7 linked regions of the Kluyveromyces lactis genome follow. The protein of the gene in region 7 interacts with the protein of the main gene of each other region in a pairwise test. Links are inferred from orthologs where the notes say so. Each region holds a gene or a part of one and is shown on either strand. Other genes may lie near its edges.

Evidence for each region.
Region 1: the proteins of UTP22 (region 7) and KLLA0_F13222g interact in binary tests that used the Saccharomyces cerevisiae proteins (3 or more experiments, as listed by UniProt). The link is inferred for Kluyveromyces lactis from reciprocal best matches to the Saccharomyces cerevisiae genes UTP22 and IFH1.
Region 2: the proteins of UTP22 (region 7) and UTP20 interact in binary tests that used the Saccharomyces cerevisiae proteins (3 or more experiments, as listed by UniProt). The link is inferred for Kluyveromyces lactis from reciprocal best matches to the Saccharomyces cerevisiae genes UTP22 and UTP20.
Region 3: the proteins of UTP22 (region 7) and SQS1 interact in binary tests that used the Saccharomyces cerevisiae proteins (3 or more experiments, as listed by UniProt). The link is inferred for Kluyveromyces lactis from reciprocal best matches to the Saccharomyces cerevisiae genes UTP22 and SQS1.
Region 4: the proteins of UTP22 (region 7) and UBP10 interact in a two-hybrid assay, tested with the Saccharomyces cerevisiae proteins (2 studies listed by BioGRID). The link is inferred for Kluyveromyces lactis from reciprocal best matches to the Saccharomyces cerevisiae genes UTP22 and UBP10.
Region 5: the proteins of UTP22 (region 7) and UTP25 interact in binary tests that used the Saccharomyces cerevisiae proteins (3 or more experiments, as listed by UniProt). The link is inferred for Kluyveromyces lactis from reciprocal best matches to the Saccharomyces cerevisiae genes UTP22 and UTP25.
Region 6: the proteins of UTP22 (region 7) and DHR2 interact in binary tests that used the Saccharomyces cerevisiae proteins (3 or more experiments, as listed by UniProt). The link is inferred for Kluyveromyces lactis from reciprocal best matches to the Saccharomyces cerevisiae genes UTP22 and DHR2.

What each region holds. Positions count from the first base shown.
Region 1 is NC_006042.1:1,219,268-1,223,478, reverse strand, and holds the start of KLLA0_F13222g (uncharacterized protein), read right to left. Parts: upstream 2,801-4,211; coding exon 1-2,800. Other genes in the region: KLLA0_F13200g (survival factor 1 family protein), read right to left, coding at 3,553-4,211. UniProt on the Saccharomyces cerevisiae protein: Transcriptional coactivator that together with FHL1 regulates the expression of rRNA and ribosomal protein genes. Its activity is negatively regulated by environmental stress.
Region 2 is NC_006041.1:1,547,840-1,552,045, forward strand, and holds the start of UTP20 (Utp20p), read right to left. Parts: upstream 2,801-4,206; coding exon 1-2,800. Other genes in the region: KLLA0_E17447g (resistance to Congo red protein), read left to right, coding at 3,782-4,206. UniProt on the Saccharomyces cerevisiae protein: Involved in nucleolar processing of pre-18S ribosomal RNA and ribosome assembly.
Region 3 is NC_006040.1:1,646,821-1,650,671, reverse strand, and holds SQS1 (Sqs1p), read right to left. Parts: upstream 2,724-3,851; coding exon 501-2,723; downstream 1-500. Other genes in the region: CNM67 (Cnm67p), read right to left, coding at 1-88; cysteine protease ATG4, read left to right, coding at 2,990-3,851.
Region 4 is NC_006040.1:717,546-721,646, reverse strand, and holds UBP10 (ubiquitin-specific protease UBP10), read left to right. Parts: upstream 1-1,348; coding exon 1,349-3,601; downstream 3,602-4,101. Other genes in the region: MRPL19 (mitochondrial 54S ribosomal protein uL11m), read right to left, coding at 3,928-4,101. UniProt on the Saccharomyces cerevisiae protein: Deubiquitinating enzyme involved in telomere and HM loci silencing, which is the repression of chromatin structure which leads to a stop in the transcription of nearby genes.
Region 5 is NC_006041.1:740,586-744,680, reverse strand, and holds UTP25 (rRNA-binding ribosome biosynthesis protein UTP25), read right to left. Parts: upstream 2,616-4,095; coding exon 501-2,615; downstream 1-500. Other genes in the region: KSH1 (Ksh1p), read left to right, coding at 1-158; ICE2 (Ice2p), read left to right, coding at 3,008-4,095. UniProt on the Saccharomyces cerevisiae protein: DEAD-box RNA helicase-like protein required for pre-18S rRNA processing, specifically at sites A0, A1, and A2.
Region 6 is NC_006042.1:2,427,004-2,431,058, forward strand, and holds DHR2 (RNA helicase), read left to right. Parts: upstream 1-1,356; coding exon 1,357-3,555; downstream 3,556-4,055. Other genes in the region: AEP1 (Aep1p), read right to left, coding at 1-527. UniProt on the Saccharomyces cerevisiae protein: Probable ATP-binding RNA helicase. Required for 18S rRNA synthesis.
Region 7 is NC_006040.1:1,246,659-1,250,790, reverse strand, and holds the start of UTP22 (rRNA-processing protein UTP22), read right to left. Parts: upstream 2,801-4,132; coding exon 1-2,800. Other genes in the region: KLLA0_D14762g (uncharacterized protein), read left to right, coding at 3,642-4,046. UniProt on the Saccharomyces cerevisiae protein: Involved in nucleolar processing of pre-18S ribosomal RNA and ribosome assembly.

The sequences.
Region 1 (4,211 bases), on a different chromosome or scaffold from region 7:
CATGGTTAAAATCAATTTCTTCAATCGGGGCAGTCAGAGAAACCAGGAGATCTGCATCGTCACTGCCTAATAGATCAATATCTCCATCTTCATCTCCATGATGAGAAAGTATTAAATCATCATCAGATTTCAGCAGTTGATCAATTTCATCCATTCCTAATCCCTTCACAGAATTCTTCCTCGTTGGTAAAACCAGACCGTTGAAATCATTAGGTGTGTTTCCAGCATCTGCATCGGTGAAAACACTTGAACTTGGACTAGCCAAATTCACGCTAGAGGGAGTTTGAATGTTGTTGTGAGAATCTGCGTTGGGTTCAGTTTCAGTTTCTTGTTCAGGAGCAGTGAGCAATTTTTGCTTTTCAATTCTTTGCCTTTCCCTTCTGATTTTCAAGAGCTTCTTTTTCTTCTTTATCTTCCGTCGCTTTTCATCTTTCTTTCTTTGGTATTCCTTCATCTTATCGATCTTCCTTCTAGTCCTTTCACTACCAACGTAACCAATTGGGAACTTGCGTGCTGAAAACACAGGAAGCATGTATTCGTCTTCTTGATGTTCGAAGTTGATGCCTTTATTTCTGAAAGCAGATAATGGAACAGATGGTTTGTGATACCAGGTGGCAATCTCTTTATTCTTAGAATTCGAGTCAGCGCCATCTTCATTGTTTTCATCTTCAAGCTCACTCATATTCAACAATTCGTTAAGGGTTAGTTCCTCTTTTTCGCCTCCTGATCCGATACCATTATGTGATGAAACGTCTTCGACTTCAATTCTTGGATCTAAAATTTGTTGAACTGGCGGAATAGCAGGATACAAAGATTTAGTGGAAAGGCCATCAATGATACTAAAGGGCTTGTTATCTGTCTGCCAAGTTCCAAGTTTCGGAGGCTTCAAACCAACAACGTTGGCACTAACGACTTCTTTTGCCTTAGTCCCAATTTTGCGTCTTGTATTTGGAGGTGGTAAAGTGTCATCTTCATCAGTGGATTCGTCATCTACAAAGATGACACCTTCCACATGGTCATCTGGAGTGTCAGGATAGCTCTTAGCTTCTCCAGCTTCCTCATCTGATAACGAATCGTAATGAAAGTAGAAGCCATCTGGATCGAGATCATCAATATCAATGAAAACGTTGGTGACACTCATATCGTCATCATCTTCTTCAAAGTCATCTTCACCATCTGAGTTTTCGACTTCGTCTAGCTCCAAGCCATTTTCATCCTCTTCATCTGTAGGGAGGTGGGCGATATCTAATAGAATATCTTCGTACTCTTCATCTCCAGATGAAAGCTCTTTATCAGATACTGCCACGGTACTGAGCCTACGCAAAGGAGATTCAAGGTCATTGGTAACTTTAGGTTTCTCGTCATCGCTTTGGAAAAATAACCCAAATACGTACTCATCTTCTGCAAGATCTGGAGTAGCAGAATGTTCACGTTTAGACTTCTTGGAAGTCATTCTTCTTTTCAACCTCTCCTGCCTTTCCCGCTGTTTTAATTGCTTACGCTCTTCCCTCTTACGCTTCTCTTCGCTTAACACTAACGGTAAAGATGTGCTTAAAGTTAAGGGTTGGTCGCTGCCATCATAGTAATACAGATTGGAAAACTTGGGATCTTCATAAAAGGGCATATCGAAATCACTCATGATTGCATCATCTTCATCGTCCTCGTCGTATTCGTAATCATCGTCGTCATTTCTGGGTTTCCCATCTCTATACTTTGATTCCACCTGCGAATCATCGAAAGAAGAATGATCATCACGTTCAAGCTGTTTAACCATATTCTGTTCTTCAACATCCAGAATAGCCATATCGTCATCACCAGTCTCAAGGCCGTTATCTATACCGGTAATATTTTCGTTATCATCATCAATGGTCTTGAAATATGCCTCTTGATCGATATTATAATCTGAATCCTCACTATCTGAAAATTTCGGTACCGCCAATCTATCGACATTTGGTTTAATGGAATCTAAAGGTTGTTTCACATCTTTATCCTTGACTTCCTCACCTAAATCTTCATCAGCCTTCTTGGAGGCTACTGAAGCATCACCGAACTTGATCCCATCGTCGCCTTTGAAATTGAATGACAGTTCAGGAGCATCTGATAGTTCAGAGCTTGAAATGTCCTCATCATTCGAATCCGAAGCTTCACGATTCTGCTGAGCCCTATTAGGAAATCCACCCTGTTTACTATTACCTTTATTGTTGCTGTTACTGACGACAGTTTCTGCAGGTGTCTTGCCCCTCTTCAAAGCGTTCAGCTGTTTCATTGCGTTTTTCTTACGTTCCGCAGTAAGTCTCACAAAATCCACGTCATCGTCTGAACTAGTACTCGAACTGTCGCTATCATCATCGTCATCATCGTCATCGTCATCATCATCATCATCATCATCATCATCATCATCGTCATCATCTACTGCCATTGTACCTCCTTCATCCTCCGAGAGAGACTGGTAGTCTGAAGACGCTGTAGCACTGTCCGAACCTGATGTGATGGCTGAGTCCTGATTCGTTGATATCAGCTTTCCGTTCTTACCCATCGCATTCGAAGATCGACCTTTTAGCTTAGTTCCGGCTTTGGGATTCTTATATAACGGTAACTTGGACAAATTCGAGCCCCTGCTGTTCGAATCCTGTGGTATATCACTCAGCGACGAATCACTAGAATATATTAGACTGAAACGTCTCGGTCTAGAACTTAAATGCGGAGGCTTATCCTTCTTATTTCCCATTTTATCCTGTAACGCTTTCAGAGTCGTAGGCTTCTTCCCACTAGTTAACTTCCTCGGGCTTTTACCTGACATAATATATATGTGTTATCAGTTGCAATTAGCAGCTGCAATAATGGTATTCTACTCTTTAGTGGACTTTTCTATATGCACCTGGATCAAATCAATAGGCTCAACAATTTAATAAAAAGAAAACCAAAAGAAAAAAAAAATTTCTAGGTTATAAAACGTTTTATCCAGTTCAACACAATCTTTAATAACTAGCTAATCAACAGTAAGTGTCCTGGGATCACACACAATTCAAATCTTTATTCCTTATTCCTTATCCTTTCTCTTCGCAGATAAACGACTAGTAGAATGAAACCAAAAAAAAAAAAACCGAAGAGCAGGGAAATCTATTCCTGAATATTCCTGATCTTACTGCACTTCTAACCTAGATACGTAAAATTTTCCACTATCTTTACAGCCAGCGTTGGTAGGAGAAACTCTGATTTGATCAAAGACAGAGACAAAGACAGAAACAAGGTTATTCTCTGCTTTTTTTACACACTATTTTATTCTAGTCCCAATTTCTTGAGATGAGCTCTAAGTTTACTTTTTATTTCTCTGTTTTCCTATGAAAATTGGTTGAGAAGATAATGAGGAAAAAAATTTCTTTTGTTGTACCGGGTAATGTTCTGCTGTGTTTGAAGATTGCCAAGATACGTAATTTGACGTTTGACGTTTGACGTTTGACTCTTGGATATGGGAGATCAGATGTCTGGGATTAATGACGACTCGCATCTATTCACTCTGTTAATCATTTTTTAAATTTATCTGAATTGGATCTATGGACTTATAAATGTTGTTTCTACAAGTGATATTGCACGTTCGTCATCTACCTCGGTTCTTTGACAGAACTGATATAGATATGGGTTGATTCCTTCCACCTTTTCCACAATGCCTTTCAATACCGTGGGCATCTCTTGTAATATATCGTACACATTGATTAGATTTAAGGGCCCCAATAGTAACGTGGGGCATAGTTCACCGTCTTTTTTGGGTAACGGAATCTCTACGATGTTTGGATACTCTACTCCGGTCTTGGGATCCAGTGTTAGCCCAAAATGTTTCACATGCTTATGTTTATCCTGTATACCGCAATATATGCGCTGTGATGAGGTTATCTTGTTTGTGTCCGACGATATGGTCACTGTTTGTTCACCGTATTCTTTTGGCGTTGTAAACTCCATACATAAAATTGTCCGTCTAGGTGACATGAAAGCAGCGAAATTCCACGATTTGGCAGCGCTGTTAGGTTTAAGGCCTTGCAATGCAGTGATGAGGACCATAGGTACTGAGTGAAATTTTATCTTTTTCGAGTTCACCACTATATGCCCTGATCCAGTACAATTCGGAGCAAATACATGTCTGATACACCTGTCGACGTTTGGGTTGCCCCTCATGGGAACTCTCGAGAAGAAACTCCTACCATCGGGTTTGATCT
Region 2 (4,206 bases), on a different chromosome or scaffold from region 7:
AGAGAATTCTCACAATATAACCCATAACAGCTTCTTCATCTTGCTTTTGGATAGTTTTGGTGTCATCGGTTGCTAAAAACTTGGTAATTTCATCTTTAAATAAAGTGTCATCCAATAAGTTCTTCAAGTTTTCTCTGTACTTGGTTATATGAGATTCCTTGTAACAAAACAACGCATCTAAAGCTAATTTTTGAACTTCTGTAGTTCTGCTGCTCAAAAGTGCCATTAACCTATCGTGCACTTCCTCTGATTTGTAAATGGATTTGATATTTTTGAATTTGCCAACGAGCTTTAATAAAAGGTTTCTATCACTTTCAGTCCATTGTGATGCTGTTGGAATTAGTACATCCATACTTGGTTGATCTTCTGTGATAAAAATTTCTTCAGATTCTTCTTCATTAAATAAAAAAGGAACTATGTCCCTTGAATGACGCTCTGCCAAACTAGGAATCGACAATAAAACTTTGAATATCTGACTTCTAATCAATGATGGATATACCATAGAATTCCTTCTTTCCTCCAAAACATCCAATATAGTTGAATCGCTAGCAGAGTATTTTTTAAATACTTTGTCAGAAGCAAGGATGGAGTCATTCATTCTATTGATACTAACGGTCCAGAATGGTTCTTGAAGGTCAATGTTATTGGAAATGCTATAATATTTGACGTCCTTTGTTTCATCAAGAACAGTGAGGAAACGCATAGCCAAACTCCACACAAGGGATTGGTTTTTGGTGTAAACTTCTGGAATTATTTCATAGATAGCTTCCCAAATTGGAGAGAATCTGACAGTTAGAAGCCCAAACATATGTTTGAAAAAGACATTAGTCAATAAATCCTCAGCTTCCATCTTGGCAAAGTCTGCACCTAGTTTCCTTACTCTGAGAGTAATGTCACGGCTTGTATGAAGATCCAGAGGGATTTCTTCCAAAATCCTTAGATCATAAAATAATTGGGGAACTGAGTTGCCTTGCTTTTCTAGAACAGATATTATAAACTTAAGGGTTTCGTAACGGATGGTTTTGTCCGGAAGTAATAGATTATCTGTTAATATGGGTAAAATCTTTGATAAAGATTTCAAAATATCAGTGTCGTCCTCCAAATATGATAAAACATGTGAAATACCTTCAATAAAATATCTACTGTTCTGTAGCTCTATAATTCTCGGAACTAGAATATTCAATAATTTTGCAGCCATGACCGACTCAGATGAAGTGATTTTAAATGTTAATGCTTGAAGTAGGAAACCAACAAAATCCTTTTCAAAATCCGATAACACATCCTTTTGGAAAACCCTCTCTAGCAAATGCATAATGATTTCCTCATCCTCTTGTTTCAATGTCTTTAATATTATAAGTTTCCAATACACAGAAAAAATTTCCTGTTCATCGTTTACATTAGCATCGCTGATATCCTTCAACAACTGGGTTGCGAATTCCGGTGCAGAGAGATGATTTACCAAGTCCAAATCTTGTGAAGATTCCGATTCTAAAAGGAACAATGCAATCTTCTGAGCACCATCTGCCCAGCAGTTATTAACGTATTTCTGCAAGTATTTCAACCCGTTGAAAGAAAGCACTTTACCCTTATCGATATCCATAGAAATCTTGAAGAATTCAATGAAATGAGCTGAGAATTTCGTCAAGTAGAGTTCGAACATGTATTTATGCAGAGAAGTTAGCGTTTTAACGTCAGCATTACGTAAGACGATGGCAAATGTAAACGACACTAGATCTGCATGTGATTCATTTAGACTATCATGTTGAGTGGCTTTACGTAGAACACCAGATAACTTTTCCCAACTTGGTACTTTTCTACCACTCTCGGCAAACGATAGCGTAGATAACATTCTCAACGTTTTACCAACAGCAGCACTAGATCCGTTCAAATTCTCGTCCAAGAATTCAAGGATCAAATCGTATAAACTCTGAATATTCTCCGCAGAAGTGTGTCTAGTGATATCTAGAATGATGTCACAAAGTAAAGAGACACATACTATGTCTGAATTTTTCTCGAATGCGATTTGCAGAAGAGTTTGGAATATTATATTTGATCTTGAATGCAATGCCTCGGAAGTACTCTTCAATGATTCACCAAATAAAGTTTGCAAACCGTCATAAAAATTATCATTCTTTAACAAGCACAATTTTTGGAACGAAAATGTGACAAAAGTGGCCAAATGTTTCTGTGGAGATTTCCTTATTAGAAACGATAGAGCCTCAGCGGAGAATCTGGAGAGGTATTCTTTCTTATGTGACAATAACGGAAATAAGAGGTCGAAAGTGGGCGTCAAATTCTGAGTCAAACTACGTGACAAATACTTGAAAATGTATGCCAAACAATTGAACCCCCATTCGAACACGTTTGAGTTTTCAAATTCAGTGGCAGCTTCCAATAAGTTAATCAAACATGTAACCGCCCTTTCATAAAATTTCATGAAATCAGGTCCCAAATCATGACAGAACTGAGCCAAGAGATCACACAACGGCTGTAAAGATCTCTCATCGTGTTTATCTATATATTGCTCCAAATTCGCAAAGATTTCATCCTCATGGTACAAAAGTTGAGGCAAAGTTTGAACCAATTTCTCTACCGAATCCATAAAGGATCCGAAATTCCCACTCAAATTGATATCCTTCCAGTGTTCAAAAGAGGATAGAAAATGGGAGGTCTCTACATCATCATGAACCCTTCTATCCAAATTTCTAGCAGGTTCAATCTTCAAATCATCAATCTTATCCTTGAAAGATGAGTATCTATACCTCTTGGTAGATTTCGTTGTAGTCTTTTGCTTACCCATGGTTGATTATTTTAAAATGGGAAACAGAACAAGACTAGTCCTCAATGTTATATCAATGTACTGAAGCAGGTCTTGTATGACTGGTGATTGACAGTTACTGTGTGTAGACCCTCTTGTGTTTGTTGTTTATGCGATGAGATGAGATGAGATGAGTTTTCATGCTTTTCCAAATTCTGAAAATTTTCCCTTTACCTAGAATGGAACGTGAAGAAATCCAGTTTCTTTTTACGCAGGGCCGATCTGGAGGACGACTACGGCCACAGGACTGACCGCCAGCACTGATCATTTATGAGGTGTTTTTAACGGGCCAGGAAGGTACGATAGTTGTGGGAGTACTAATAGTAGAACCGCTACAATATATAAGTTGAGAGTATCCAACCTAGAATCGCGAGGTAATGATAGAACTTCAACTAATAAGAAACTCCATCGTCTCATTATACAAAAATTGGTAAACATTATGTAGCGCAGAAGTAGTGCTGATTTTGGAACTCAACTTGGTTATATTTGAGGCTCTGCAACATTTTCTGGACATTCGTGGTAAAATAGGTATATCCTTTCTCTTAAATTTCCAGTATTTCTCTCCATCGGTCTCTTGATATATTATATATACTGATATATATTTGCATATGGGGAATAGTCGTTTTTAAATGAAATTTGTCATGATTCGCGATCAGATTTCCTCGCTACTCTTGCTGCAACAAGGATATGCCAGCAGGACTCCAGAGGGCAGTCGATAGGAGTTTGAAATCCAACCTGCACACGAAGCTATCGCTGAAAGGAGGATTTCCCACTGGATTTTTTGTTACAAGTCGCTTCTCGTCCCCTTTTTTGTCTGTTGATATACAAGACCTTCGATCAAAAGGATCGGAAAACAAAGAGGGCTAACCCAACACCAAGAGCAGGACTCCTGAACTTACTAATTGAATAAACAAGGGAAGTATATCTTTTCCGGGTTCTAATATTGCTCTTACTTCGCCTGCTATGTCAACCACAACTACATCTACGCCATCCAGTGTTGTCAGCGCTGTTCAAAGTGCTACCACTACATCTGCTGATATTGATAACAACTGCTGGGGTCTCTCGTGTTCCTCCCACTGGGAATGGGCACGGTGGGTAATATTCGTTATATTCATGTTCATCTTACTGGCATTTGTCATCACTACGATAAGAATAAACTATATAAGAAGGCGTAACGGACAACAACCACTTCGATACGTGTCATGGCTCACTCCGCCCACATACCGACAATCAGAAGCTGTAAGAAATAGATCAGATGTCCCATTGGCAGATTACGTGCCTCCGTACACAGAAGAAGCAAATGAAAACGATTTGGGTTACTACGATCGTGATGGGATATTCCACGTGAACAGTAAAGCCGACCCTCCACCACCGATAGATGCGTATGT
Region 3 (3,851 bases), about 400 kb from region 7:
TATCTGTATAATCAAACTTTTCTTCTTGTTTGGCGTCTGTTTGGTTTCCAATGAAAGATCCTCTTCTTTTTCCTGTTGGAGAAAGCATTGCGGACTCAATGTCTCAGTATGTGGCTGTGCTTAATATTCGACGAACTGCTCTAGTTTTCAAGCAATCTTTTATTAATATCGATTGCTGCTCATCTATGTTTGTTTACGTTTTATTTTTTTGGTACTTTTATCATGGCATTGTTAAAAATCGTGTTTGTGGTTAATATAATAAAACGACATCAATCTAAAAATTAGTTTTTGGGATCGGACAAAACGCTCCCAGGGTTTTCACCGAACATAACTTTTGAAGATACGGCATACGTGCACGCTTTTCTAGATATTGTTAAAAAAATAGACCATACTGGCCAAGGGCATTCAATTATACTCTATATGTATATGTAGTTATACACTTATCAAGAAACACAGTCTTTCAACAGCGTTGTCGAACAAGACAATGCAGTATTTTACCGTCATTGTTGATTTTCAGAGGTATGGCGTAAACCTGATTTGTTCTTCTTCACCTTGGCCAAGATTGGTTCGTTAATTCCTTGATTACCGTGGGCACCGAGCCCTTGTCCGATATTCCATCCTAGCTTTTCAAGCATTCTTCTTCCAATATTGTCAATCCCAATTTCTGGTGCATCTTCACCCACAATTTGCCCTTCACTAATATTGAAGTTTTCTTTAGAAACTTTCAAGCGAACAGTACGGTTGAACGTGGATTGTGTGTCAGTCGGAGCTTTTTGATCTATTCTCATAAATACAGGTCGTTTTCTGAGTAATTGGCTGATAATGTGATATGCTGGTTTATTGAACCTTGTCTTTTTGGTTTTCTCAACGTAAACCTTGGTCGATTTTCCTTTACCAATATTGGAAGCCTTCATAAAATAATTGTATGCAAATTTGCCGATGATTTTGTTACCGTGGGGATCCAAAGGTGGGAATGTAATGGATTGACGATCGTTACGGTAAAACGCATCAAATTCGTCTTTTATATTTTGAATGTGTAGACCGTAAGGATATTTCATTAAAAGATCTGTAGAGCTTGCATGTGACTGAGACAAGAAATCTTCTTTTGCTCTTCTTTTTTTGGTTTTGTTTATTTGTCTTGTGGCAAACTTATTTTGAAGCATGAGCTTGATGTCTTCGTCCATTCCTGCTGTTTGATCGAATATTAAATGCTTGTTTCTTCCTTTCCCCCTAATATCCAATGAAGTAGTATGGTATTCAATTTTTCGCTGCTTATTGTATTTTAGAGCGTAAGACACGAGATCATCAAGATCTTCACCGAGATCATCTTCGGCGAAAGGTTCGCATTGATCCGCAGTAGAATCATCACTGTCATCATCATCAAAGGGGATATCAGCATATTCCTCTGGCTCTTCCTCTTCTTCAATGAATGACTTGTGTAGATGTTTGTAATAAGCTCTAAATCGGTGTTCAGGTAAGCCCATTTCGGCAATTATTTCATTCATCATTTCATCATCTACCCATCTAGGCTCACTATCTCCGTATATTTCATGACATGAGACATGATAAGAATGAGTCCCAGCTCCGATTCGAATATTGGAAACAAACACTTTTCCTATCGAACCTTCAAAATCATCCTCACAGAATCCAAATGATTCATCGCCAGAGCTATTATCAGAATTTCCTTGTGATATATCTTTTGTTGTAAGTGATGCAGTGATTGTTTTCCCGGGAATTTCTTCAATTGTTAACGACTTCATTGAACTATCAAACTGTTCGATCGTACCACCTGTTGTTATTAGTTCCTCCGAGGATTCAAATTCATAATCTGAACTTATACTAAAACTCTGTTCAACGTCATTTCCATTCTCATCAAAGTCATCATCCGAGTCATAATTTTGTACATTCTCCATCACATTTTGAATATAGCTGTGAAATGGATGGTATGAACTCTTTGGTTTATCAACTTCAATAGAGCCAGACCCCCCGTCTTTGAGATTAAGTTCCACATTGCCTACCCTCAATGTCGGTTGAAATTCGGTACAGTCATTAAGCTTTAATGACCGTTCCTGTACATCAACATCTACAGTTTTAATATAATTATCAGCAGTCTTTTCTTCTCCTTCCATATCTACATAGAACAATTCAGCGTCGTTCGCTGAACTGTTTGATTCCGAATCTCCATTTTCAGAAACCACATTATCAGATCGTATCTTGACAGTTGTGTTTTTACTTGGAATTTCCTGAGTATCAACGTCTTGTTGTTCATCTTCACCATCTTGCTCTTCCTCCCTCAGGGATACGCTTTGCGAGGAGTTGTAACCGTCAGAGTTTGGCTCGTCAAAATGTTGATTCTTTTTCACCAATTTTAATATTAGGTCATGAGAAGGATCATAGAGTTCTTTTGCTTTGATAAACTCCACGGGACGTTTTCTTGATGGCAACCTGCCAGTATCGAGTTCATCAGCTTCCGTCAATCTTCCAGGCCTAAATCCACCAGATCTTAATGAACTCTTTTTTGCAGTGGATCCAAAGTAATAATCTTCAACTTGATGTGGATTCATCAGGTCACCACCTCCTAGTAACAACTCGGATCTATTCCTGTTGATACTGGTACCTCCCCTATGATTCTTTCTTTGCCTTGATTCACCATGTGGCTTGGATTTCTTGCTTTTTGACTTCCCACCACCTCTGGCATTATAATGTTTATGCCTCTTTGCCATTATCACGATGACCTACTGCTTCAAATTCCTAGCAGCTGCAACAAGGGGTGTACCAGGCTTACCTTAGAGTTACGTTCTTGTTATGAAGTATTATTTTCTACATGGTTTTAAATGCATTTTTCATATAGATTATTGTTCATTAATATTAGAAATATAAGTTTCTGCAAATTATGATCAGCATCGTAAAAAGCAAGTGAGTACAAAGTGCATGAAAGTATAGGAAAACGTATCGCTCAATCTTCAAACCCAGCCATCCCTATGCAAATATGGAGTTCTTGTCAAGGATATCACAACATTTAGGTATAGTGGAAGATGTTGATCGAGATGGCACCGTGTTCATATTGGGCAAAGAATACGCTCCCCTTAACAATAAATCAAGAACGGATGTGGAAACAGATGACTCGGCCTTGGAAAGCCTGATAAATATCGTCTCATTAAATCCTGGACTTTTGTCTGACGTACATTCACGAGTGTTCTTCACATACCGCACACAGTTTACCCCTATCCGCAGAAATGAGAATGGACCATCTCCTATCAATTTTACCCTTTTTTTTAGAGATAATCCTATCAACACATTAGAAAATGCTTTAACTGATCCTGACAGTTTTTATTCAGATATTGGTTGGGGTTGTATGATACGCACTGGGCAGGCTCTTTTAGCGAATGCCATTCAAAGAGTCAAGCTTGCCAGGGAGTTCAGAATAAATGCTTCAAGAATAGATGATAATGAGTTAAATCTGATCCGTTGGTTTCAAGACGATGTCAAATATCCTTTGTCGTTACACAACTTTGTCAAAGCAGAAGAGAAAATATCTGGAATGAAACCTGGGCAGTGGTTTGGGCCAAGCGCAACAGCCAGAAGCATAAAAACATTGATTGAAGGGTTTCCCCTTTGTGGAATTAAGAATTGTATAATTTCAACTCAGTCGGCAGATATATACGAAGATGAGGTCACAAGAATTTTTCATAAGGATAGGGATGCTAATTTACTTCTGCTGTTTGCTGTCAGGTTGGGTGTTGACAAAATCAACAGCTTATACTGGAAAGACATATTCAAGATTCTCTCATCACCATATTCTGTCGGGATCGCAGGCGGTAAACCCTCGTCATCATTATACTTTTTTGGAT
Region 4 (4,101 bases), about 530 kb from region 7:
GTTCCAAATCGTTACAAAGTCAGAAACAAACAAAGATAATGACCAACTTTCGAAACTGTAAATAAAGATCTAAACACATAGATCTTAGAGTTGCATATCTCCATTTTGTTGGAGTTTCAGCTCCTCGGCTTACCTCTTCCTTTCTTTCAAGAAGGCTACAAAAACGCTGATACTATGGAGATATAGGCGTCACAGAGTTACAAGCAATACGGCAACGTTTTAATTACTCAATCCACCCACAACTAGTCCTTGTCAAACGTGTTTGCGGGGGGTTAACAATCGGAGGCTAATGGTTGTGTCAGTGACTGATACTATTTTTACTCCCAATGTACATAAAAATTCCCCTCCTTTCTTTTTCAATCTCGAGTACATGTTGCGGATTTATTAGCACATGGAAAGCTCAACCACAGGGGCAAAGGGAAAAGAGTTGAGAGGAAAAGAGTGATTAATCGAATAATCAGTTTGATGGAGCCTTTGGAAAAAGGTCAAAGTTGTAGAGATCTGGAGAACGTAAACAAAGAGATAGGCACTTATATATACAAAACAGAGATTATCAACAGGTAAACAAAGGAAACGTAAACAAATACACCTCATAGCTGCATCAGCTGCATAGAGCATGTCAGCGGCTATCGAACAAGCCTAATCATGGATATGTTATGAACGTTATCGAGGTTGGTATCTGTTCAGTTGCCCTTTTTGAGATTGCAATCTGATAAGGATTCCAGTCGAGCCAATCGGAGAAAAGACGGACATTATGGATGTCTTTGTGTCTCTATTTTTGTGTCCCAAAACATAGAGTCATAGAGACATTGCAGCGTGGTCGGATTAAAGGGACAACAAGATCCCGCCCTATTTCTTTTCTTTTTTATTCGCTTGAGGGAGGAGAGGCGGATGGGACGGCGAGGTGGATTGAGGAACACTGATGTTGTGTTTTTAAGAAAATGACTAACATCCGGGTATCCTTTCACGTGACACAAAATACCATGACGTATTGCATTATTGCTGTTACCCGGCTTTCATATCGCTTTTTTTGTGGCACACCAAAAACCAGACACAAAAACGTGTCAAAGGAGCGTGTCTGGTTATTTGCTACCCGGATACTTTGATATCCAGAGTTTATAGATTCAGTTCTTTTTTTTTTTTCTTTGGATCCATTTTTTTTATCGAATTTTCGCTGTCAAAACCTCCCTCTCTAAGGCCAGATCAAAGAAAAAAAAAATAATAAAGAGAAATAAAATATTATACTAGAAAAGGTTTTACTAAACAGCAGGTTATTTCAGAAGAGTTCGAAAAGCTTGCGGACAGAAAAGGGCTAGGGTGCAGTTTTCTATCAGGAAGAACTAAGGTAATGACTGATTCTGTAAAACCACTAGTGGATCGTATCGTTTCGCAACCGTTGGAATTCAAGAAAGCTGTTCAAGAGGACTCATATAACGTCGGTGGTGAAGGCTCTTCGTATATTATGATCTCATCGAGCACCCAGAAACAGCAGCAGGAAGCCAAAGAAGGCGATGAGCATCAGTTAGAGCATGGACATCATCAGGGTATAGCTGCTACTGCAACTGCGTCCCGTAAGGAGAAGGTGGTCAAGCCCTCATCATTTGCAGAGGCGTTGAAGATGTATACCACTAAGAAAAGTGCGGCAAACGCTGCGGAATCTAAGCCAAACAGAAGTTCGCAATTACCAATTACCGCTTCTCATGTGACTCCATCGGGGAAATTATCTATCGGTTTGAGCAATGAGCTTTTACTCAGTGATGATGACTATCATGGATCCTCGACTGAAGATGAGGAGCATCCAATCGTGTCGTTGTTGGAAAACAAAGTGACCCCAGATTCAAACGAAATGTCGGGTTCTGGGTCTTCTTCCGCTTCTTCATCATCTGCTGCAACTTCTGCTCCTGTCTCGTCGTCTGATGACGACGATGAGGATGAGGATGAGGATGAAGTGTTTCATGAGGCTAATGAATTCGTTCAACCATCGCTGGCATTAGCTGCTCCTGCTGAGCAGCCTGGAAATGTCGATGAAGATGAAGATAGTGATGACAGTTCATTCCACGCTTCTTCTGCATCAGCAGAAGACGAGGATGACGAGAATGACGAGGATGTTTCTGCAGAGGAAAAGGAAGAACTCAAATTGGAGGCTACTGAACATGCTGCTGCTTCTTCTTGTCAGTTCAAAGGAGTGTCTTCATCTTCAACTGCGGCTGCTTCTGAGAGCAAACCTGAAGAAGAGGAAAATGGCGAAGAAGAGGAAGAGGATGAAGAATTGAAGCACAAATCTCCACAACCTCTATCACCTACCCCTCCTACCACTCTTCAGGACAAGTCAAGCTTCTACCAATTTAACGAGTCGATTAATGACCATGGTTCTAATAAACCACAGAGGATAGTTAAGAATTGGGGCTCTAAGTTGACCCAGCTGAAACCAAGGGGTTTACTCAACCATGGTGTCACATGTTACACAAACGCTGCTGTGCAAGCCATGGTTCATATTCCAGCAATTCAACACTATTTATTTCAATTACTACGTGGAAATTTCAAGGACACCGTTAAGTCTAACTGTGTTTCCATGTTATTAGCGGAAACTACGATGAGAATGTGGTCTTCTGACTCAACTAAAAATACGTACATTAATCCTGATAAATTAATCAATGCGTTGGAAGACATTAACTGTATGATGAGCGCTTGGAACCAAGAGGACTCTCACGAATATTTTATGTCTTTAATGTCACGTTTACAAGAGGACTCGGTTCCTAAGGGCCATAAAATGACAGAATCCATCATTTACGATGTATTCGGTGGATTACTACAACAATCAGTTAAATGCAGTAACTGTGGTGAGATTTCAACCACTGAACAACCTATATACGATCTTTCATTGCATTTAAAGGGTAGAAAGACAACTGATCAAGATCAAAACTCTGTTGGTCAAGATAATTCAATTGATAACTCTGTTGATCAACAGCAATCTTCAAAGAGAAGGTTTTCAATTGAAAAATCTATTCGGGATTTCTTCAATCCTGAGTTAATCAAAAGAGTGGACAACAAAGAAGGGTATACATGTGAGAAATGTAAGAAAGTTACTAACGCGCTAAAGTCAAACAAGATTATTCGTGCTCCAGAGACTCTAGTGGTTCATTTAAAAAAGTTCAGATTTAATGGCACATCTTCATCCAAAATGAAGCAGGCCGTATCTTATCCAATGTTTTTAGATCTAACGGAATACTGCCATGAATCAATCAGCTCCTTACCCGTAAGATACCAACTAATTAGTGTCGTTGTGCATGAAGGGCGATCTTTATCTAGCGGTCATTATATCGCACATTGTAAGCAACCAGATGGAAGTTGGGCCACATATGACGACGAATACATCAATAAAATTTCAGAAAAACAGCTTTTGAAAGAGCCAAACGCGTACTTCTTAGTGTACACTAGACTTACACCAAAATCGGTCCCACTTTCCTCTCAATCTTCCAATAAATCTACTGATCTAGGTATTCCGCAATTGCAAAGACCTCCATCTTCACACTCATCATCGCAGAACAACTCTAAACGTAAGAATAAGAAAAAAAACAAGAAGAGAAGGATTTCCCCATAAGTTTGAATAACCCTTTCCTTAAACTACCGGCTTACAATACACTTGCATCCTTGTTCATTCTTTCTTTGTAAACAGTCATACATGCATCTACCTCACACTGACTTCAGTTCATCTTTTTTCACTTCGGTTTCAGTTCATTTGGATCATCATATACATCTTCATCTATAGTAGTTGATATATTATTATAATTTTATCTTTTCATTATTCTATTTTATGTACACGAAATGAGGTCTACAAATGCTAATAAACCAGTTGGAATGAAACTCTCCATCGAGACCTTCACTATTTCACAAATCGATGCTTTGATTAGTGAAAAAAAAGTCAGTTTATGGAACTACCTTAATACCCATACTCTTAGCAACACCGATAATAGACTTTACGATTCCTTCAAGTTCCAGAGCAGCGTGTCTTCCATCGGTCTTCTTGATCTTGGCGATCTCATATATATGTTTTAACGACAGTTCACCACATACATTATCAGGGTTACTGATATTTGGTTG
Region 5 (4,095 bases), on a different chromosome or scaffold from region 7:
GCACATATATTCATGCACAAAGACCATCGCTCCTTGATCGTTATAAGGACAGCGGTATACTAGGAGTATTTTGGAAGTTTGCGAGAATTGGGGAAAGAGCTAGTCCTTATGTGTCTTTAGCTTGCATTGCCATGGCAGTTTCGCAATTCAACAGTTGATAAACCCAAGGGAAAAGATAAAGATAAGTCACAATTGCTATAGGTGAAAGCTCTCATTAGCAAGTTTGACCGGCTCTGAGGTCTATAGAATTATATTTTAAGTATAAAATTAGTTTAATCTATTATCGGGCGGCTATTGGATTCGTTTGCGGGCTTGTCTCTTTGCATCAAATAATTAAGAATTAATATGTACTCTTTGAATCTGACTTTGAGTTTCAAAATTCTACAACAAACAAAGAAGTTGAAAAGTGCAACATATTTTAATACTCTAAGCTATTAGTAAAGGAGAACGATTGCGTAAGTTTTCGGTTTACTAATTATTTATGGCATATTTGATCCACTCTATTTAAACTCGTACACTTCGTTTTGGCCATGAGCCAATACTGCCGCGCGTTTAGATCCTACGACTCTCTCTAGAGAAAGACCGTCCATCTTACTATATATGCATCTGACAGTTGAAATGTTGATATCACAGTTGCCTAAAAATACGTTCTTACCAATATTGCGAACAACTTCAGAATAGAATTCAGGATTTCCCGGAGGCTTGTAGAAAATTACACTCTTGACGTTTTTTATTTCGTACCTTCTAAAGTGGTGCAATCTTTCTGTGTATAACAAGACCTTCACCTTTCCGTGTTGGAATCTTGCTCTATTGGATGTCAATTGTTTCTGGTTAGAGTACTCGTTGATTTCTCCGAATATGATTGTAGTTTTTTCTTTCAAATAGTTTCTAACACGGATGAAATCGGTATAATCAGGAATGTATAATAATATACCATCCTCGTACCCAGTAGATTTCACAATAGACGGAACGATGACACTCGTAAAAAATTTAAACCTGTAATCAGGTTCATCTAGAGCTGTCCCTCCTGCTAAATCAAATCTTTGGAATATTTGTCTAACCTTTAGTCCTAATTGACCAATGCTTGATTGTTCAGGTTTTATCTTCCTATGATTTTTCCATCTTCCAGCAAGATTACGACACTTCCCATTCAAGATTGAGTTGGCAAACGGTGATATGTATTTAGTGAAGACTATTGTTTGGCGGAAGAATTTTGCCTGTTCGTTAATATACCACATTCTGATTCGACTGAAATCTGCTTCCCGTTGCTGTTCCGGAATTTTATTGATATGCTGAAAAATTGTTGTCACATGCATGGCGTTTTGATATTCAATGGAATGCAATTGATCTATGATCATGACTTCAATGCTCGACAAGAAATCATCCTGTCTTTTCTTCTTATCAGTGTTTTCAAGAATTAATTGAATCCCTAACGGAGAGCATATAATGATATCGGACTGATAAAAGTTTGAGTATATCTTTAGGGATTTTCTAGTGAACTTGAGACCCAATACGAAGAAATCATTTGTGTTACCCTGGAAAATATGCTGAAAGGATTTAGGTTTTGAAGTAGGAGGTAACGAATCTTCGAAGAACTGATCCTCAAATTTCGATTTCTTATCGAATTGATCAAGCCCTGATTTCTCCATAATTTTCCGGACAATTTTGTGAGCAGCATCTCTTGTTGGTACTACAATAAGTACTTTCGGACGTGTAAAACCTTGATCCAATAGCTCTTCATCATTGTTTTCCTGTAATTTTTGATTATTTTTCAAAATACGATCCCTGGTCTTATAGACGTGGTTGAGCGCATGTAAAGAATACAGATCTCTGTATTGATCTTCATCAGCATAATCATCGTATTCGTATAACATATCTTTATACTGAAACATTGGATCTACAAGTTCCTTTTGAATTTCAGTTAACGGTAAGCCATTGTTTTGGAAATCGTTTGCTAATTTCAACTTCTGTTTGATGAAATATGAGCTCAAAGTTTGTTTCCCCTTCACAGGCAAAACTTCCTCATCATCTAGACACGGTTTGGAATATATTAGAGATTCTTCTTCCGAAACATCTGTTTTCGAAGATTTGTATTTGACAGTCTTGTCTTTGAAGCCTTTATCGAAAGCATATAAGCGTGATTCACTATATTTGCTGAAATGTGATTCGAATGGATCGGATTCATCTTCGCTCTCATCAACGTCAGATAATGAATCTTCCATATCTTCCTCATCCACAACTCCTCCAGAAACATCATCCAAAGCATTTTCAATATTTTGTTGTTCATCTTCACTATTAATTCCATCGTTTTCAGGACTGTCTTCCTCAGCGCGTTGGGAATCTTTCTTGATCTTCTTATTTGATTTGTGTTTCCTTTCTGGATGTTCTGACTTTAATAAAGTTAACAACGCATTATAAGCTTGTCCTCTATGTTGCTCAACATCTTCTCTTTCAGCTGCAACAGATGGCTCTGCATTATCAGAATCACTTTCATTATCAGGGGTTAAGTCTGCTACCGTTGCTTCGTCATCATATCTTACTCTTTTCTGACCAGCTCTAGTGATCTCTCTCAACTGTTTTCTACCAGATTTTGGACCAGCTCTGATTTTACTCATGTTTGAGGATTCCTTTACCAAATAAATGACACTTTTCTACTACTCCAGCAATAACCAAATACAATTAATATGATGTCAATTTAATATACTGCTCATCTCATGTCATCTCATCGCATCTTATAATCTTAGATGCTCAATTTTTCATCCGTGTTTAATGATCTCATCAGGTCCAGGTACTTGAAAAGAAGTGTCGACCCCTTCCTACCGTAAAGTCATGTCACAGCAGACCTGAAACACCTCAAAGATTACGTCTACCTTGAGAAGCGATTAAACAAGTTCAAAGTAGTGTGCTCGTCATACTGTTTACCTTTTTGGTACGTTCCATTCCTTTTACTACTGCGCCTGTAAACTGACTGTTTTCATAAACTTATATAATACAAACAAAAAAAATAATGTTACATAGAATTACGATGGAAATCTTCAAGCAAACCAGAAGACGAAGGAGTCAAGAAAGAAGGCTTGAGCCATCAACAATAGCCCGTCACTGTGCAAAATTCAACGTTTCCAAGATGCCACTAATAAAGAAGAGTGTGCTTCAAACTCTGCGGATATTTCTCACGACAATGTATCTATTTCTCGTGCTGATTACCATTCCGATAAGTTTCCAAGTTGGTGGGCTGAACTGTGGATTGTCATTTACTGTAACGTTATTTGCTCTGTATTTTGTTTCAACGACTTTCAAGCTAGTATTACTGGACCGCGGATCAGCGTTGTCAACCCTGATTTATTATTTGCAGCATCTTCTCATTCCTTCAATTTTATTCATGTTTTTGTCATACTTTGAAAACATCGACTCTGATACTGTCGATTCCGAGTACTTCAAAGTATTTTGGAATGTGATGGTGAAGCCATGGCAGCTATCATTGATACATTCGACTCCAGTGTTCACTCTACTGGAGGGTGTTTTCACCATTCTCGCCATTCAAGCCATAGGGGAGACAGAGAGATGGCTCAAGATGTCTAGAAGAAGTAATCAATGGGTTATTCTGAGTTTGTTGATCAGTGGGGGAATTATTACGCTATCACTATTTTACTTTTACAGAATATATGTCACTCCAATGTGGGAACTCTCCACACCAAGTGCTTCACTACTTGGGTTCACATTCTCAATTGTTTGTGGTATCGGATTATATGGTATAAACGGATCAGGGTCAGTGATGGAAAGCTCGTTGTTTTTTGCTTATATGGTTCGCAATGTTTACGAAATAAGTCCTAAGATGGCGATGAATGCCATGGACGAAATATTCGATATCGTTAAGGAAACATGGAAAATCCATCAGGCTAATTTGCCCAAGAAGGATAATCTTTTGGAACTCATGACTAAAAATTATCGCGCCATCTGGAGTCAGATAGTAGAACACACGCCTCGGAACCATAAATATATTAAAATGATGGACCAATGTAAATGGATTCTAAATCCTTTGTGGAACTCAGTGAAGAATTTCACTAAAAGCGTACCGATAAGTATCCAAGAAATATT
Region 6 (4,055 bases), on a different chromosome or scaffold from region 7:
CCTTTATGGAATATGAATAGCTTGCTCAATTCACTGTCTAATGTCTCGAATGACAGCTGTGGATGGCTGTTCAAAAAGTTGTCTAATTGTTTAACAAATGGAGACTCCGAGGTCAGTTTCGTTTTTCTCACTTTTGGTCCGGAGTCTGATGAAGTAATGTTGACTTTATGAAAGAGACGGTCTCCGGATTTATGTATTCTCTGAACCCATTTTGATACATCTTTAACTGTGTCAAAACTCAATCTGGATTCCACTAGAGTAGATTCACTTGTCACTGGGTGTCTCACAAATGCTGGTAATACCGGCTTCCCATTGAAAAGTTTTGGATTCCTTTCAGTGATGCACAAAGCTGTGCGTTCGGTAGCATTAGGATATTGGTAGAATGGATGTACAATCTTGTTAGCTGCTGGAACCACGTACTCAGGTAGATGTCCCCATTCTTCATCTGCTACTTTGAATTTGTTTTTTGGAACCAGTAGCGTCTTGCCCGGTTGCAACTTATTAGCAGCTCTAGAAAGTATACTCATATCACGGGAAAAAAGATGAGAGAGTGAAATGTAGATAGTAGATGCAGTGGTTAACGTCGTAGCCACAGATAATATATAGTTTTCCCCAGATGTGATTGGTGAACGGTCCCCTATAGGTCTAACGCTGTAGGTTGAGTTTATCTACCATGCTGAAATAAAGCTTTTTTTTTCAGTTTCGAAGGTGCTTGAGAAAATACAAGTTCAACACTGTTCAAATCATCGTGGAATTACAATTAAGAGACGCAGCCCAGTAAAGAGCACCCTGTTCAAAGAATATGATACTCTTTTACTACACCGAAGACAGCATTAGTTTATATATATATATATATAAACTAATTTTCTCTTGATGGTGTTATTCCTTCTCTATGTTAAGGCAATGATGAGAATTTGTCACTGCTGATAAATGGATATCGTTCCAGTATAGTATTGAATAATAGACTAATCGTTTATTATGAGAGTTCCTCTGTAACGCTTGAAAGTGAAGCAAGAGAGTTAGGTGTGATATACATTCAGGACTTCTTGTCAGCCATCATCTTATGCCAGATGTATCAACAATATCAGTTTTTTTTTTCATTGGCAATATTGAATCGATGATGAGCTAAGAAAATTTTCAGCAGAAACGTAAATAGTAGCTATTTCCAGAGATGAGATGCGATGAGCTATGGAAAATTACAAGCTTGGTTTTGTCAAAGGTCTTTTCAGCTTTCTTGAGTTGAGATTATTGCTATTATTGCCAACCACTTGCTGTAAGGAGCTAGCAGTGAGGATCTACAGCTTCCTTATTTGTTGACCCACTCGAGTTTGATTCAACTATAGACCTATCACTCAGATGGGAAAGAAGAGTAAAGCGGTTCAAGACCGGCAGAATGGGAAGTCCATTGGAAAGAAGAAATCCAATGCAAACCCGTTAAAACGTCACGCTGGGAAGAAGACCGTAGTTACTTTTGATGACCATCAAGATGGAGATACTGGGGATTCGGATTCCGAAGCCTTGGATCATGTGTCAAATAAAGAGTTAAAGACAAGGGCACTGAGGTTATTGAAAGGGCGTGAGAGTTTACCAGTATTCCAGAATAAGGAAAAGATCGTGTCTCACATTAAAGCTAATCCAGTTACCATATTGATTGGTGAAACAGGTTCTGGTAAATCTACACAAATTCCCCAATTTTTGATGGATGAGATTTCTCCGATGCACAAAGGGGCCATAGCTGTTACTCAACCACGTAGAGTTGCAGCAATCAATCTTGCAACTCGGGTGGCGCAAGAGCACGGATGTAGAATTGGTCACGAAGTTGGTTATTCTGTTCGGTTTGATAATAAAAGTCACAAGACAAGAACTAAATTGAAATACTTGACAGATGGTATGTTAATCAGAGAATTAATGCTGGACAAGAACCTATCCAATTATAAATGCATAATCATAGATGAAGCACATGAGAGAACTATATTGACGGATTTGATTTTAGGTTTTTTGAAGGAACTTCAACTGACCAAAAGGAAAGATTTGAAAGTAATAGTAATGTCTGCCACATTACAAGCAGATCTATTCAGCAAATTCTTTTCGAACGCACCTATACTATTCGTTGAAGGCCGCAAATTCAAAGTAGACAGATATTATCTACCCAGACCTTGTGAAGATATAGTGGATAGTGTGGTACGCTGTTCAGTTCAGTTAAACAGTTCAGAAACTACAGGAGATATACTCTGTTTTTTACCGGGGCAAGAAGAGATTGATAAAGCAGTGGCCATTTTAAACAAAATCATTCCATATTTAGACGAATCTGTACCACGCATCACAGCATACCCACTTTATGCTGCATTACCACCAAAAGATCAAGCTAAAGTCTTCGAACCTTTAAAGGGATTCAAAAGAAAAATCGTATTGGCGACTAACATTGCGGAAACATCTGTTACCATTCCTGGAGTTAAATATGTGATAGACTGTGGATTAAGGAAGGTGAAAGTTTGGAGGCATCAGTTGGGGCTAGCTACGTTACTAACTGTTCCTGTTTCAAAGGCTAGTGTAGCACAAAGAGCCGGTCGTGCAGGCAGAGAAAGTTCAGGTAAATGTTTTAGATTATTTACAGAAGCTGATTACAAACAACTGCCGAAACAATCTGAGTCCGAAATTACTCGATGTGAAATTACGTCCCCTATCTTGATGTTGAAACAGTACGGCGTACAAGATATTGTAAACTGGTCGTGGCTAGAACATCCAGGGAAAGAAGCTATTATCTCGGGGCTAAAAGAATTATATGAACTTGGTGCTCTCAATGAACAGGGTCGTGTCACTGATAGAGGTCGCAAGATGGCGCTATTACCTTTAGCACCACATCTAAGTAACGTTTTGATTCATGCTCAAGAGACTCAAGTATTGCCATACGTCATAGATATAGTATCATGTCTGAGTGTTGAAAACTTGGTGTTAAACCCATTGCCTGAGGAACGAGATGAGGTCAACGAAAGAAGAAGGGCATTATGTACCCTAGGCAGTAAGCACGGTGACCTAATCATGCTAAAAGAGTTATTCGACATGTATCAATCATTACAAAGCAATTCGGAGAAACAAGAATGGTGTAAACAGTTATGTGTATCTCAGCGTGGATTCAAAAACGTGATTAAAGTCAGAGAACAGTTGACAGGGTATATGAAGAGACTGTACAATGAACCGGTAGAAATTAAAACAAAACAGGACACCCTACAACCAGAAGAAGACATTGCTACGAATCTGTTGCAGCCGCCAGACATTGCGGGTGTTTTAAAATGTTTCCTATATGGGTTTGTCAAGAACACTGCAATTGGAATGCCTGATAAATCTTTTAGAACAACGCCAACAGGGGAACCAATATCGATCCATCCGTCCTCGATGTTATTCATGAATAGTGGCGATGAAATAGGTCCATGCCCTGCGATATTATACATCGAACACGTATTCACAACAAAGGGATACGCGCGGTCTGTTTCTCGAATTGAATTGGCATGGCTGCAAGAAATTGCCTCAGGCGTTTTGAAGCAATCGACAAGATAATGAGAGAATTATTCGCGGGGTAAAGGAACTGGTCCATCAACCAAAATTTTCCCCGTACTTCTTCGCATTCGAAGTACAGTAAATGCAGGATCTAAATAGGGAACTGTATATATTAATTAATCACATCATAACGATCATATGCGAGCAAAGCACAGTTAATTGTAAATAGTGTAAAACGAAAAAAAAAAAAAAAAGAATGAAGGCACATTTGATTTTCACTGGTAATGGCCTGTGTGAGTTCTTTCTGTACGGCACTTTCAGTCAAATCTCTTCAAACAGCTCTCGAAACATAATCGAACAATAATGTGTGTCCAGATCGGAATACAGAATAAAGAAAACACCGAGGAAAGAAACGGTTTTTCCGTTTGTGGCCGTACTTCTCCAAGAATTTGTCGTGGTATTTTTTTTTTTATTTTTTTTTAGTTTTTTTTTAGTTTTTTTTTTATTTTTGCTCTTGGAATGGGATGGGAAGAGATAATTCAAGTTCTACGTAAACTCAG
Region 7 (4,132 bases):
CAACGGAACCTGGCATGGTGAATGGACGTGGCTCTACAAATGGCTTAATGGCAATAAGCTCAATCAATTCTTCTGACAAATGGCCATATAAGAGATGAGAATCTAGCCATTTCTTAAATAGTCTTACCACTGGAGAGTAGAATGGGTAACTATGGGAAATGTTTTCCAAAGTTCTAGTATGTCTAATAGCAGCTTGGTACTTGGCAGTAAATTTCAAGAATGTCTTTTCCAGCTCTGGTCTTAGTTCTTTTCTTGCGTTGTTAATTGCTCTCAAATACATAACTTCGTCTCTCTCAGTTAGAACTCTAAACTTGAAACCGTATCCTTCTGGAGTCAAAATGTTTAGAGTAACTATTTCCAAGTTGTATGGAATCGATTCATCACGTGTAAAGTAGCACTTGTACTCACTATGAGTCTGCGTGATGGATTCTTGAATCTTCAATAAAAATGCAGCTTTAGCCTTTTCCAACGAAGTAATTTCGTCAGGCCATTTTGTAGACGTTTCGAATTCGATAACAACGTCTTGTAAGAAATCAGGATTAGAATATGCGTATGGGACAGGCTGACATAATGATGTGTACCTGAATGCAGAACCAATAGGTAAAAGAGATTTAATTGATAATGGGAGTTTTAGCTCGAACATGATTTTATACAAATCGTCAAAGGACTTCTTCAAGTTATAGTAGCTTGATAGGTTTAGAACTGATGTCTTTGAAGATGCAGGTAGGTTCGGTAGTGGTAACAACTGTTGGAATTGGCTAGTGGAATTATTGATGAGTTTGCAGTCTTCAGTCAAATGTAGCCTTAGAACATAGGACAAAATCGAAGAAACAACACTTTCAATAGCAGAAGTTGACCAGACACAGCAGTTTGCAATGGAACCGTCCTTGAATCTACGAAGAGATGCTTTTTTACCCCAAAAAATCTTGAATTCATTAGCTTCATTAGTTAATTCTTCTGTGTTCTCTGGGCCCTTAGTCACAAGCTTCTCACATTCTGCAGGGTTGATCAACAGTTTAATTTGGATTGAAGTGAAATTTGGAACAGCAGCAACTTTTCTCTTTGTTACTGGGAAAGTAGATCTATTGTTAACTAGAGCCACTTCAAAAGCTTTGATTCTATCCTCAAGGGCAATCTTCACGATGTTCGATACTTTATTGCAGATGAAATTTTCGAATGATATAAAGCTAATCTTTTCAACGGGACCGAACTTGGACAGTAGTAAATTGATGGATGGGATATCTAAATCATAGTAAGCATCATATTTCACTGTCTTGATCTTGTTTAAGTTAGTTAAGAACATGTTTTCGAACTGATCTCTGACGACGTCATTCAACATCAATAAACTTTCTTGCGCGTAGATCTTTAGCATTTGATAGCTGTTAACAGACATTTTACTCAGTATGTTAACTTTGGTGGTTTTATCAAAGATTGTAGGTGTTTGGAAACCTTCTTCAACGTATTTTGAGGAAGTGACAGTTGCAGTAGTGCTATAGTCGGAATAGAATTGTAAGTACCCATCAGTACAAAGATCCATTGTGGCCAAATATTTGATTACACCTTTGAATAATTGGTAAGATGAGAACCCATGCAATAAAATTCTGTTACCATTCAACCCACCACCATTTAGTAGGGCTGCCATCAACGTGGCAAACTCGAAATTTCCAAAACCACCCAACGCATCTGAATGAGACATATTTGATGAGAAGCCTCTCTGAGATAACCATAGCTTCCCCAAAATACAAGCCTGTTTAAACTGTTCTGTTTGTTTCTTTGATTTGTGTAAGTACTTCAAATAGTGTTCGTGACAAGAAGATGATAATACCGAGAAATTGTAGAAAGGTGTCGGAGTTTCGTTATCCTGACCGACTCTGATACAGTTCTTATTGGGTAGCAACTTCTTTGATTCGAAGAAATTGTATGGGAACCCCACGATCAAGTTTATGCTGAATTTAGTCTTGTAGAAATTATAGTCCGATGAAGTTTTCTCCTTACAACTTATCTTTAATACCGTTTGTAAAGGATCGTTGTTAAAGTATGAATATTCCAAGTGTAAGAAATCCAGCTGGCTTCTTTTCAGGACGAGTGAGATATGATGAGTCAAATACGCGAGGTATACTGAACGCTTGTGGAAACATCTAAAATTCAAGAAATCTTTCTTTTCGAACAACTGCTCAGGCATAGTCAACAAAACGTCTACTGCGGAGCCCTGAGGTTGGTAGATGGCAGTCTTCAACCCGAATGATCCAATTAAACTCACGTCCGGCTTTAAATAATTGAATTTGTACTGTGTGTTCTTCGCTTGTGGTTTTGGATCCACAAACGGAACTGATACCACTTTCCCATGGAAATATTTCTCTACATCTTCTAAGCTTTGCGGAGTCCATTCCGGTACTTCCTGTATCATATCATATAGTTTATGCAAAAACTTCTCCACCCTTACGATGTGTGAGTCCTTCAACTTCACTTGTTCCAATAACTCATCGATTTGTAATTTGAAAATGTTCGATTTGAAGAGTTCAGCCGTTTCTCTCGCTATTTGTATATCCTGGGAGCTCAACTTTGGCTTCTTAGCCTTATGGTCATGTGTGTTTTCCTCTTCCTCGTCTTCTTCCCCGCTGGAAGAGGCAGTAGCCTCTTCCTCTCTTTCTTCTTCTTCTTCTCCAGAAGAAGAAGAACCAGTCTTGTCACTGTCATTTTCAGCCTGTGAGCCAGTAATAGCTTTTACAAGCGCCTTCTTGGTGAAACTACCATTCCTGGACTTCTCACCATCTGGTGCTACACGTTTCACAGAGGCCATAGTTCACTAAATATCCACTTAATTCACTAGTTCCTGACCGTTTGCGCCTCTGGATTGATTATAATACAGAATGATAGCCAGTGCCCGAGTCCTAGGGTTTCAATTTCCCCTAGCCAAAACAGAAGAGAATTACCCTTTTAATATCTAGCAAACTAATACGAGGGAAATCCAAACAAAATCACTGTGATAAACCTGCCTATGGGTACGTTCATTCTATGTAAATGCGAATTCTTTAAACCTTTAAAGCTCATCGCCTGGCAAATTTTTCCAAAATTCGATGTGAAGGATTTTGATGCGTCTGTCACTTTATACGACGTGTCCAATCTCAGTCTCTCTGAATAATCAGTTAGATAGTCAGATACATAGAGTCATACTGGACTAAAGCCAAGTCCAACTCAAGTGCTGGAACTGGTACTATCCCGATATGTAGTAATATAGGGAATACATGGTTTTAGACGTACCGTATTGCTAGTTTTAGTGCACAATGTTACTTTAAGAAAAAAAAAATAGATTCGAGGAAGGTCAGATTGGATATTGAAAAAGATGAATGCCACCTGCCAGAATTGAACTAGCGACCTTTGCATTACAAGTGCAACGCTCTACCACTAAGCTAAGGAGGCACGAAATCTATTACAAATTTTACAGATTTTTTAGATCATTCGGCGGGTTATCTGTTGAGACGGATTAGAAACAATAGACGGTCAAGTATCAACATGAAACATCATTAACCAATCTGAGTTATTATATAAAGAGGCCATAGATCTGGGGAAAGACCATCAACACAGTCATGACAGATCGCCAGGTGCATCAACACACTAGCTATATATAGCTAGTAAACACTATGGATTCATCTGATACCGAAGGTTTTGAATTAATTACACGTGACTGTGACTGCGACAACCAGGATCACCTACATGGCAGCGTCACTGAGTCTCCGCAAGGAAGTAATGATCCGACAAGAGGTATCTGTGAAGATATACAAAGACTCGATATCGTTAGTGATGGTAGTGCTCCTAAACAGAGTTTAAAAGAGGATAAAAATGTTAACCCATACTCAGACTTAGATCCCGAGAGAGAGATATTTGGAGGAAGTACTTACGAAGTGTTTGATAGGGAATACAGATATCGAAGCAGTCTGTTGTTTAGTTATTCCAAGAAGAATAACAACTCGTGTGACAGCGAATATAAAGCTTTGATGACTTTTCCAGGTTCCAAGACAAGACGTCTGTTCATCTACAACAAGTGAAGTCAAAGGACCAATTTAACAGATGGGTTTACTGTTTAATTGGACAATTGAGACTAGCGGGACTAGAGAGTTTTATCCCGAACAAA